Macaca fascicularis: one gene and its partners. The protein of the gene in region 3 interacts with the protein of the main gene of each other region in a biochemical or structural test. Links are inferred from orthologs where the notes say so. Each region holds a gene or a part of one and is shown on either strand. Other genes may lie near its edges.

Region 1 (3,648 bases), on a different chromosome or scaffold from region 3:
CGGGGAGACACATGTCACAGAGGACCCTGCTGTATCCTCAGAAAACAATGGCACCATTTCCTCCATTTTCAATCTGATTTCTTCATGGCTGGAAAAGAACGTTTTCCCGTTAAAAATGATTATGTGCAAAGATAGGAAGCATTCCATCAACATTAGAATATTTATTTTAATAATTTATGATTAATTCAAATGCATACATTTCACATGTTACCACATATTACATTTCACATATTACCGCATATTACCAGCTCACATGTCTCTTCAACAGTTCATCAGACAATTATCTTGAAAATTTCTTCTCTTGACCACCCTTTTGCCCTCTCTTAATCAGTCTCTCTCTCTCTCTCTCCTTCTCTCTGTCTCTGTCTCTTTCTCTCTCTGTCTCTCTCATCTTTTCTTCCTTCTGCTATCGAATTTTTCCTATTGGATCTCAGCCACTGATCCTAGTTCCCTTTTACTTCCTGGTAGTCTGGCTGTTGATCCCTTTGCTCTGAGCCACTCTAGATTTAAGGTCTTGCCAGTGACGAGACCTTCTCTATGTATTTCAGGTACCTATCAAGAGGCAGGTGGTACAATGGAAGGACCACAGGCTTAGGTGTCAGAGTGTCCTGGGTTTGAACCCTTGAAGCTCCTCCTCCTCTCTGAGCCTTCATTCCCTTATCTGCACAATGAGGGTAATAATCTGCTTCGCAGGGTGTTGTGAGGAATATATAAGCTGGAAATTTATTGAGCACTTACAATTCACCATGCACTAGTCTAAGAACAGGGCTTGTATTATCTCATTTAATCCTCACAACAAATCTATGAGATAAGTACAATCACTTCTCTTGGGTTACCAATGAAAAAATTGAGCTCCAGGGTGGTGAAGAGACTAAAAAGGTCATACAACTATAAGATCTGAGTCAGGATTTGAGCCCAGATAGACTGAGCTTAACTACTGGCTGTGCTGCCTCTAATATAAAGCACAAAATAAGAGCTTTTAAAAGGTTACACTGGCCTGGTGTGGTGGCTCACGTCTGTAATCCCAACACTATGGGAGACCAAGGCGGGAGTATAGCTTGAAGCCAGGAGTTTGAGATCAGCCTGGGCAACATAGCGAGACCTTGTCTCTACAAAGAAAATGTTTTAATTACCTAGGCATGGTGATGCACATCAGTAGTCCTAGCTACTTGGGAAGATGAGGTAGAAGGATCACTTGAGCCAAGGAGTTTGACATTGCAGTGAGCTGAGATCGCACCACTGCACTGCAGCCCAGGCAACAGAGCGAGGCCTCATTCCCCCATCAGTACCCTCCAAAGAGGTTACACTGTAGAGTGAAAAGAATGTAGATGCTAGAGCCTAACAGATCTGGGTTTGAATATTGGCTGTGCCACTTATTAGCTGAGAAATTTATGGAAAATCACTTAATCTCTCTTACTCTGCTTCCACATCTGTAAAATTTCATTGCTCCACCTTTCTTCAGGCCTATAATATAAGTTAATATAATCATTTATATAAAATGTTCATCATAGTGTCTGGCTAACAGTAAACATTTGATATATGGCATTTGTTAAAATTAGGATAGGAAGTGACATCAGAAGCACAATAAATATTTTTATAAGACAAAGCATTTATTGTCTCAAGCAAGAACCAAAGTAAAAATTCTTACCATAATTTTCCAGGTCTCAGATTCATGTCCAAACTACTGCTTCTGCTTCAACCTTCATACCAATGACTTCCTAGCAAAACCCCTTAGCTTTTTTTTTTTTCTTTTTTGAGACAGAGTTTCACTCTGTCGCTCAGGCTGGAGTGCAGTGGCACAATCTCGGCTCTCTGCGACCTCCATCTCCCAGATTCAAGCGATTCTCCTGCTTCAGCCTCCCAGGTAGCTGGGATTACAGGTGTGCACCACCATGCCCAGCTAATTTTGTATTTTTAGTTTTCACCATGTTGGCCAGGTTTGTCTCAAACTCCTGACCTCAGGTGATCCACCCGCCTCGGCCTCCCAAAGTGCTGGAATTATAGGCGTGAGCCACAGTGCCCGACCCCTTCACTCTAGAAGGGAGGGTGTCTGCCCCCTGGGCTCTGCTCAATCTTACCAGTGGGCGTTTATAAAGTAGGTTCTGATATAGGTATATGAACCCTGCATCCCAAATTTTCTAGGGCAATTCTGATTTTCTTTTCCCTTTTCAGACTGTATGGCAAATAAAGTGTCCCAAGTTGGGAGTCAGAAAACAGCATCACCAAAAATATAGGCTGTCACTGGTTTTCTTGCTCCATGCATCTTTGAAAATGAAATGCTGTCCTTTGTGCCCAGATTATACTAAAAAAAAATAACAAAATAAACCTAGGACTTATGCCTCTTGCCATGCCATTAGTCTACAATTTTTTTTTTTTTTTTTTTTTTTTTTAGGCAGAATCTTGCTGTATCACTCAGGCTGGAGTGCAGCAGCGCAATCTCGGCTCACTGCAACCTTCTCCTCCTGGGTTCAAGTGATTTTCCTGCCTCAGTCTCCCGAGTAGCTGGGATTACAGGCATGCACCACCATGCCTGGCTAATTTTTTGTATTTTTAGTAGAGACGGGGTTTCACCATGCTGGCCAGGCTGGTCTCGAACTCCTGACCTCGTGATCCACCTGCCTCAGCCTCCCAAAGTACTAGGATTACAGGTGGGAGCCACGGCGCCCAGCCTACTCTACTCTTTCTCTCCTAAAATAAGGTGGTGGATTTATGAATACAAAGAGTCTAAGAATGGGTGGACTAGGTCTAGCAATGCTATTCCTCAGCAGCTTTTTGGACAGAAGTCTTTATAGATCTGTAGCTCTCTCACTTGATGTAGACCCATTTGAATAAATCTCCTTTTGTTTTCTCTTTTTTTTTTAATACTTTTCAGGTACGAGCAGGTGATAATCATTATATGCACTTGAAAGTATTCAAAAGTCTTCCCGGACAAAATGAGGACTTGGTACTTACTGGATACCAGGCTGACAAAAACAAGGACGATGAGCTGACGGGTTTTTAGCAGCATGTTCCCAAAGTGTTCTAATTCCTTCCACTGGCTACTGAGTCATGATCCTTGCTGATAAATAAAACCATCAATAAAGAAGCATTCTTTTCCAAAGAAATTATTTCTTCAATTATTTCTCATTTATTGTATTAAGTAGAAATTACCTTTTCTTTCTCAAAATCAGTGCTACTGCTTTAGAGTATAAATTCCATATAAATTGATGGCATTTGGAAATCTTATAAAAACTAGTTAAGCCTAATGCAATTGGCTAAAGGATAGTACACCACACTCACCCCCACCATAGGCAGGCCGGATCATGGACTATCAGTTCATCAGCCTCCTTGTTCCCTGTGGCTGCTGATAACCCAGTATTCCATCTCTACCCTCATATTTTAAAATTAAATCAAGCATTTTACAAAGTGTGTGTATGTGTGTGCGTGTATATATATAAAATATATATATATATATATATATATATATATATTTTTTTTTTTTTTTTTTTTTGAGATGGAGTCTTATTCTGTCACCCAGGCTGGAGTGCAATGGTGCAATCTCGGCTCACTGCAACCTCTGCCTCCTGGGTTCAAGCGATTCTCCCATCTCAGCCTCCCAAGTAGCTGGGATTACAGGTGCCCACCACCGCACCTGGCTAATTTTTGTAT
Region 2 (4,235 bases), on a different chromosome or scaffold from region 3:
TCTGGTGGTCAGGGAGATATTGGATTAAATGGCCTTGGACAACAACCCTCTCTCTGGCCACAGACATTCTTCAGATTACAAGATATTCCAGGGAAAACACTGGAATGAGTCTGAAGCCAGGTGCTAAATAGTAGGACCACTGAGCAATGTTGTGATCCCGACAGTTCAAACAACTTATTTTTCTGCTTCATTTTTAAATGAAAAATTTAAAAACTGCCATTCAAAATGGCCCATTTGTTTCAATTGTTCTTCTCAGTGTTAGCCTGTTAACTCAGTGTATTAGTCTGTTTTCATGCTGCTGATAAAGACATACCCAAGACTGGCAAGAGAAAGAGGCTTAATTGGACTTACACTTCCATGTGATTGGAGAGGCCTCCGAATCATGGTGGGAGGCAAAAGTTATTCTTACATGGTGGCAGCAAGAGAAAATGAGGAAGAAGCAAAAGAAAAAAACCCCTGATAAACCCATCAGATCTCCTGAGACTTATTAACTATCACGAGAATAGCACAGAAAAAGACCGGTCCCCATGATTCAGTTACCTCCACATGGGTCCCTCCAACAACACGTGGGAATTCTGGTAGATACAATTCAAGTTGAGATTTGGGTGGGGACACAGCCAAACCGTATCACTCAGCAAGGTAGATAACTTTCTCACTGACTCTATGCAACAGAAAACATCTGGGATGGTTGAAAGGGGCACGGGAGATGACTGGCAGGATCACTGCCAAGGTACAGCATTCAAGAGAAAGCAATAGAATCCTGTTCTCCATAGTATGCTATGAGATACTGAAGTACACTTCTTCGGTATCTCTTTGGACTTAAAATTAGAATTATATTCCTTGTTATACAGAAAAATAACTAATGAAATGCATAGGATGACAAAAACTTTCAGAACCGAAAAACAGGAAATGTAAGCTTTTTAGTTGTTTGGTGTTCAAAGCATGCCTTAAAGACAATGCAACATCCAAGAAAAGAATGGCCCTTTTTCTGTGTTTGTTTTGTTTGTTTGTTTTCTTTTCTTTTCTTTTTTTTTTTTAAACATCTGGAGTTGTATACAAACGAAAGGAGCTGAAATTAATGAGAGGAAATTGGAATTCTAACCTTATTCTCATTGGCAATAGAAAGTCACCGACATTATTTCAAATGAGCCAGTGATTGCTGATTTACATTTTCATTTTTTCCCTATAGATTAAAAAGGAAGTACAATGGTAGAACAGTAATCGTATCCTTTGTCGTAAATGTTCTCACTCATCAAGGTGAGTGTTAGCCTGCTTGTGAAATCTCCTCTCCACAGAGGGAGAGGCAGCAAGAAAGGCACCTACAGGTATTTCAAATAAGCCAGTGGTGCTGATTTGCATTTGCATTTTTTCCCTGTAGATTAAAAAGGAGTGTTAGCCTTCTTGTGAAATGTCTTCTCCACAGAGAGAGAGGCAGCAAGAGGAGAGGCATAAATTCAGGATCTCACCCTTCATTCCACAGACACACACAGGCTCTCTGCCCACGTCTGCTTCCTCTAGGAACACAGGTAAGTGCTTCAAGCCACTCCAGCTTAATAACATGAATTATTTTTGAGAATAATAATGATACTGTGTTCTATATCATGCATCTCCTGCATTCTCTCTGATTATGTTTTACTTATTCTGCCAGGGCACAATTAAAATATCTGTTTCATCTGATTTGTCCTTTATGTAAATTACTTAGTTCCAAGTAAACTAAGGCACCCTGAGGAACACAGAGGGAGAGTGCCTTGCAGCCACAAAGCTTTGAAGGAAACGTCAGGGATTCCTCTTAAGAGCTGGTTGGATGTGATCCACAAAGGTCTCCTGTTAGCATTCATTATAAAGCCTTCCTACCTAGCCCCAGTGTAACCAGCAATGAAGGAAAGATAAAGAGGGTTTATTACTGATTTATAATAGCTTTAAAAACAGTAATTTTGTGAGCCTCTTAATTAGGACATTAATATATTTAATATATGCACATTGTAGAAAGATTGAAACGTTAAAAACGAGAAAAGAAAAACTTTAAATGTCAAAATCTCACAACCCAGATATGTCATTTGTTTAAGAAAATCATACTACAAAATACCACTGCATTTATTAAAGTCATTCTGACAGGAATCTGATGCTTTTCCAGGAGTCCAGATCACATCGAGTTCACCATGAATTCACTCAGTGAAGCCAACACCAAGTTCATGTTCGATCTGTTCCAACAGTTCAGAAAATCACAAAAGAACAACACCTTCTATTCCCCTATCAGCATCACAACAGCATTAGGGATGGTCCTCTTAGGGGCCAAAGACAACACTGCACAACAAATTAACAAGGTAGGTATCAGCTTCATTACGCTGTCCTGTTGCAGCTTCTCTCTGTGGTTCCGGCGGCTCGCATGCAGATGGTAATAGATGTGGTGGCCTGATGGGTAGCACAGGGGGCTGAGCAGGAATTTCCGTTAACTGTGAGCCCACTGACTTAAACAGATCTTTTGAGTAAAGTTTTCTTGTCCCGCTTCATGTCTCTTCCAGGTTCTTCACTTCGATCAAGTCCCAGAGAACACCACAGAAAAAGCTGCAACACATCACGTGAGTCACAGAGCACTTTGGTTCAGCTTTAGATCCCTGAGCAGGTCATAGTTTAAACCTGGAACTTCACAGAAACTAAGTAAAGGCCATTCTTAGGGGAAAGCCTGGATGAAAAGATTGAGACGTACAGAGTGGATTGGCATTTCATGGCACATAATTATTATTCCTCGTTTCTGCATTACTGAAAGACAGTCAGCCCTGTACTTCAGAGCATAGGTCTGGATCAGGATAGGGTGGGTTCAAATTGCAACTTTGCTCTTCACAAATGATGAACATGGCAGGACACAATTGCTCAGAATCCTAGTGACCTCATCCCAGAAAACGAAGGGTAATAAAAAATCTGACTCAATACATGCAAATACATGCAAACATTTCCAACAGTGTCTTGCCCATAAAGTCATAATAAATATTATTATTATAAAATAGCTATAATCATACTAATCACAGTAATATTGCAAAAATAATTAAATTTTAATTGAGTCATTAATGAGATTAAGAGGAATAAGCACAAGTCTATTTTGGAAAATGATTGCTATGGAATATATTGGTTTAGAGCCTTAATAGAGAAAAATGCTTTGCTGGAAAGTAGGAGGTTCTAGATTTAACAGGCTTAGGTTCAAAACTTGGCACTTCTAATTTATGTCTCTATAAATAGAGTTTCTTTTCTATTCTCTGAGCTTTCTTGTTTACATCTGAATTGAACTAAAGACTCAGAGTTACCCATGTAAAGCTCTTACCCATGTACCTGGCACACACTGTTCTCACATGCAGAGAATGACCATCGTGAGGAAAGAGCCATAGATCAGTCAGTGTGTCTTACAAGATGATACTACCAACAGGTATAACAGGGCTCCCTGGCATAATCTATTTAAAATATCCAAACTTAAATATACTCATATTCTTGATGTCTGTTAGAAGTGTAATGTGGTCCTTGTCCTTAAGGAACTGACAGTTTAACTGGGAAGCAAACCTAACCCTTTAAGCCAACAAGGGGAAAACCCAATGGTAGACAGTGCTGCATCTTTAGTTCAGAAGAGAGAAGATTGGAGTACATTAGTGCAGGAAGAATTTTCTGGAAGAAGTCAAACGTAAGGTAGATTTTGAAGAGTATTTGAGGTGAAATACACCAAGTATCAGGGAATAAGCATAAAGGTCATCATTGAGGATACCAGCCTTTAGGAACTGATCTAACAGACTTAGCACGGGTTTAGAATTTACACCGATGCAGTAATTCAGTGATCTGCTTTTTTGACATTTGAAGGTTGATAGGTCAGGAAATGTTCATCACCAGTTTCAAAAGCTTCTGACTGAATTAAACAAATCCACTGATGCATATGAGCTGAAGATCGCCAATAAGCTCTTCGGAGAAAAGACGTTTCAATTTTTACAGGTAAATTTCACCTGACCTACCCACCTTTCGTCTGCAGCCTGGTGTCTGTGTCCCTGAGTGGCCTAATGGAAGAAAGCAAGGCAGATGAGCCTGGCCGACCCAAGTGGGGAGCATTTACTCAGAGTGCTTTAGCTCCGTTTCCACAACTCTCCCCCACTGGAGTGTTCCAGACCCTGACAATACATCAGTGAAGTGTGCATTTAGGGATAATCTTGTAAAAAAGAGGAGGTTGGGTAGTAGAGTGAGTAATAAGATACCATCAGTAA
Region 3 (4,201 bases):
AGAGTCAGGGTTTTACCTTGTTGCCCAGACTGGTCTCAAACTCCTGAGCTCAAGCCATCTACCCGGCTCAGCCTCCTAAAGTGCTGGGATTATAGGCGTGAGCCACCCCACCCAGCCCTAATACATGAATTCCGAAAAAGGTATCTGTTATCTCTGAAAGTGTTCCACCTCCCAAAAGCTGCGCTGGAATGACGACAAGGAGCTCCACTTACTGTTGCCTCATATGGATAGGATTCCTCAGAGTCCAGGCCTCCATTGTCGGCAACATACTGGAAGGCATAATCCATTAGGCCCCCATTGCAGCCCTCATTGCCTTGAGGCCCAGAGCAGTCTACCAGATTCTGCTCACTCAGTGAGACAAGCTTCCCAGTTTTCCGGAACATCTGTCCTTCAAGAGCACCAGTAGCGCTAAAAGCCCAACAAGAACCACACTGACCCTGAAGAGGGAATAAAAAAAGCTGTCATTCACAAAAAAATAGTAAGACTTTGACAACAGCTCACACATCTGAATACTGTTAAAAAGTGAACCGCACATCGCTTTAAAGTCTACCAAAACAAAGATGTCAATCACTTCTTGGCTTTCCTGGGAAGATGGGAGGTCTGGCCCTGACACTGTCTCACCTGATTCTTCACAGGAGTCACGTAGCCTTTCTCTCTCCAATCCACAGATCTGGGGGCCTCATAAAACAGAGGTTCCTGGAACACTTTCCCCTTCCTGGGTTTACGGTTTTGAAAGCCATTCATCACCTGCCTGAATTCTTCACTGGTCTTCAAGGAAAAGGAAATAAAATGTTGAAAAGCAAGAGATTACTTTAGTAAAGAACTGAGGGGAGGAAGCACAGAGCTCGGCGGTCGACAGCACACTCACCATGTCTCCAAAGGTGTTCATGGCCATTGTGAAGCTGTGTTTCCCTTGGCTGTATTCCTGATTGTGCAGTTCAATCATCTTCATGTTCTTCTCCCACACTGCTCTCCTCCATCCTTCTTCATTCTAGAGGCAAACATGTAACTGATGCTCTTTATTTCTACCTAAAACCCAACTCATGCTCACCAAGTGATTCTGTAGACAGAGACGGAAGAGAAACCATGGCCAGAGAAGGCTTGACACCTCTGGGGATGCTGTTCCCCAAATTGAGACAGAAAAGGGATGAATGCCCATACTGTGCTCATAATCGGTGCCATTAGGTTATTATATTAGGCTACTGGTGAAAGCTGGCCTCTAGAAGCTACTCTCTGTCTAAAACTTCTCAACAGCCAAGACTATTTTTTCTGGGGAAGTTTCAGATACCACTAACCATGCCGTATAATCTGTTGTGCATCGCCTTCCACTTGGTCCACTGTGCCTCTAAACTGTGATTAAATGTTAAAGTAGCTGAGGCAATTCCCAGGCAAAAGGCAGCGAGGATGAATGTAGGATTCATGTTTCAAAACCTAGAAAAGAAATGAGGATCTGATTAGACTGATCCTAAAAAGCAATCTTACTGCCCCTTGAAAAATTAGGGCCACCATCGTAGAATAAAAATATTTAAATTATTCTTCCAAGCATTTACCCAAGGACTGTGGAAGAGGCCAAGGATGTGCCTGGAGAAAAACAGGGCACATGGAGGTGCTGGATGGACCCACCAAAATGAAAAGCAGCCTGGCTAGAGCTATAAGAGTTTAAACAGTTTATGGGATGATAATTTAGGTTATGAGAAAGGTATGAAAGCACCTTGTGGGTGAGAAGCTTAAGGCAACAACTAGGAAACCAGGAAACAGTTGATCCAGGTTTTGTACCAATGGCAAAAATCCCAGGTTTTGTGCCCAGGCAAAACCTCAATAATGATAAGGTGGGATTCCCAAGTAGTGACAAAGAGATCCCCAAGAATTAGGAGGCCTTCACACATCTTCTTGACTAACAAACAGCTGAAGCTGAGATATGTTTTCCAACCTCTCCGTTTTTGTTTTTTTGAGATGGAGTCTTGCTCTGCCGCCCAGGCTGGAGTGCAATGGTGCGATCTGAGCTCACGGCAACCTCCGCCTCCCGGGTTCAAGCCATTCTTCCTCAGCCTCTTGACTAGCTGGGACTACAGACGTGTGCCACCTCGCCTGTCTAATTTTGTATTTTTAGTAGAGACGGGGTTTCACCATGTTGGCCAGGCTGGTCTCGAACTCCTGACCTCAGGTGATCCGCCCACCTCAGCCTCCCAAAGTGCTGGGATTACAGGCGTGAGCCAGCGTGCCTGCCCCAACCTCTCCTTAAATGAAACCCTTCTGAAATGCTTTCCCAGGAAAAACTGGGAAGGACAGCACACACTGCTCACTCCTTCACTCACCTGGGCCTGTGCTGCCGACACCCCAAATTGCTCCCCTAAATCAGGGACGGGGTCATATGGCCGCACGCGGGAAGCCAGCGCCCCGCAGCCAGCTGCCAGGGCTCCAGGCGTGGCAAGGCCGGGGACGTGACGCCTGCGCCACACACAGGCTGCAGCGGTCAGAGGATGTTTGCGGTGACGCCAGCAGGAGCACCGCTGTCGGGCGTGCGGGAACTGAGCTTCCCTGTCTGACCGGGCCAGGCCATGAGTCGGCGCGGCGCGGCCTGGCTGCGGTACCTGTGTCCACCCGGCTCGGAGGCTAGCCTGCCCGCTCAACCAGGGACCCCGCCTGCGTGGTCTCCGCGCTTCCGCGGGGTCCTTAATTGCCCTCTCCCGCTTCCCCACCTTAAGGCCGGCAGAGCTCAGGGCAGACGCTCTCGTTGCCAGGGCTGGTGCACAACTCCTCGACCGCGTCCTCTCTTCCAGTCCCTGTCCGGCCCCAGCTGGGCCTGGCCGGCAGCGCTTTCCTGCTGCGGTCGTAGCTGCGCAGGCGCACTCCACGGATGCCGCTCTTGAGGTTGCGGAGGTCGCGGTTCTGGCCCAGCTTCGCCCGACTCTGCCTCTAAAACCTCGGGTCTGGGCTCCGCCGGCACCGCCCCACCGCCTGGCTGCGCTACGATTGGCTGTGCCGGCAGCTGGGCGGGGCCTCTGGGTACTCTGACCCCTGGCGCGGTTCGTGGCTTGTTTACTGACTGTCCCAGAGCGGGGCGCGCCTGCCTCAGTGGACTTGGGGGAAGCGGAGCTGGTACCCCGAGGCTGCGCAGAGTAGGGTCGGGCGTCTCCCTGGAGCGCTCGAATCAACTAAGTACCCGACTTACTGCACTGGGCAGGTGGCTCCTGAAAAGACGTTTACAGCAAGCGCAGTATGGACTTTCAGCCTAACCTAGCTTTTCCTTAGTCCTGGAATCTTTGGTCCGCATAGCCGAGAGCCAGTGTACTCTAGTCCAGTGGCTCCTGTTTAGTCCACAGCAAAGGTGGGGCCGGGTGGAAGAACGCAGAGCCCGCGGGCAGAAGCCTTATCTCCCACTTAAGGGTGGGTGCAGCTGGGCTTTAGAAGAATCTGGTAGGGAAAGGCGTCCCCAAAACACGAGATGCTATCGTCAAGACCAGACCCTAGGAGGGAGAAGACTGGCTGCGTCTCCAGAGAGCGCGGGCGTTTTGTCAAGCATCCTCTCCAGACTCCTCCATTCAGAGATTCTTCTTTCTCCCACGTCTTTCCCAAAACCAACAGAAAGGAGTTATTTACAGAAACATTTGGTTGACAGGAGAAAAGCAGTTGATAACATTAGAAGCTGCTTTTATTCGCCCACTCTCTAGGTTATGGATTATATCTTCCTTGGTAACCAAGTCGTTCTCTTGAGATTTAAGAAATTTAATGACATTTAATGTCAGGATTTAAGATACAGAGAATGCAGAAATGTTGTAGATAGAGGAAAAATATGTATCTTAATCTAATGTATATATTAATTTATATAATTAAGCATTTAACGAACAAAACCCACAAACATTCTAAACTTTTGTCATTTTATTTTTTTATTACATAAAAACATTCGTCGTAGAAAATACCTTTCGGGGAAAAAATAATTACCTCTGCCTTTTCCCCCATAACCTTTTCGTATGCATATTTTGACTTTGTGAAAAATGAAGTCATTGTGTATTTCTGTTTGTCAGTTGAGTTCTACTGAAGATTAAACTGATAACTCTTTTAGAAGCACAATCACCGATAATTTTTTAAGTGGTAAAATATACCTAACGTAACAAGTACCATTTTAACCAATTTTGAATTCAGAGGCATTGAGTACGTTCACGTTGTGTAACCATTACTACTGTTTATCCCCAGAGCTTGT

Evidence for each region.
Region 1: the proteins of CTSL (region 3) and CSTA form a complex in vitro, tested with the Homo sapiens proteins (2 studies listed by BioGRID). The link is inferred for Macaca fascicularis from reciprocal best matches to the Homo sapiens genes CTSL and CSTA.
Region 2: the proteins of CTSL (region 3) and serpin B3 form a complex in vitro, tested with the Homo sapiens proteins (2 studies listed by BioGRID, with this or other methods). The link is inferred for Macaca fascicularis from reciprocal best matches to the Homo sapiens genes CTSL and SERPINB3.

Annotation. Positions count from the first base shown.
Region 1 is NC_088376.1:160,903,887-160,907,534, reverse strand, and holds the end of CSTA (cystatin-A), read left to right. Parts: intron 1-2,872; coding exon 2,873-3,001; 3' UTR 3,002-3,104; downstream 3,105-3,648. UniProt on the Homo sapiens protein: This is an intracellular thiol proteinase inhibitor. Has an important role in desmosome-mediated cell-cell adhesion in the lower levels of the epidermis.
Region 2 is NC_088392.1:17,181,527-17,185,761, reverse strand, and holds the start of serpin B3, read left to right. Parts: upstream 1-1,410; 5' UTR 1,411-1,526; intron 1,527-2,134; 5' UTR 2,135-2,159; coding exon 2,160-2,324; intron 2,325-2,522; coding exon 2,523-2,579; intron 2,580-3,840; coding exon 3,841-3,969; intron 3,970-4,235. UniProt on the Homo sapiens protein: May act as a papain-like cysteine protease inhibitor to modulate the host immune response against tumor cells. Also functions as an inhibitor of UV-induced apoptosis via suppression of the activity of c-Jun NH(2)-terminal kinase (JNK1).
Region 3 is NC_088389.1:118,152,407-118,156,607, reverse strand, and holds the start of CTSL (procathepsin L), read right to left. Parts: upstream 2,892-4,201; 5' UTR 2,700-2,891; intron 1,432-2,699; 5' UTR 1,422-1,431; coding exon 1,296-1,421; intron 992-1,295; coding exon 869-991; intron 769-868; coding exon 622-768; intron 438-621; coding exon 213-437; intron 1-212. UniProt on the Homo sapiens protein: Thiol protease important for the overall degradation of proteins in lysosomes. Plays a critical for normal cellular functions such as general protein turnover, antigen processing and bone remodeling.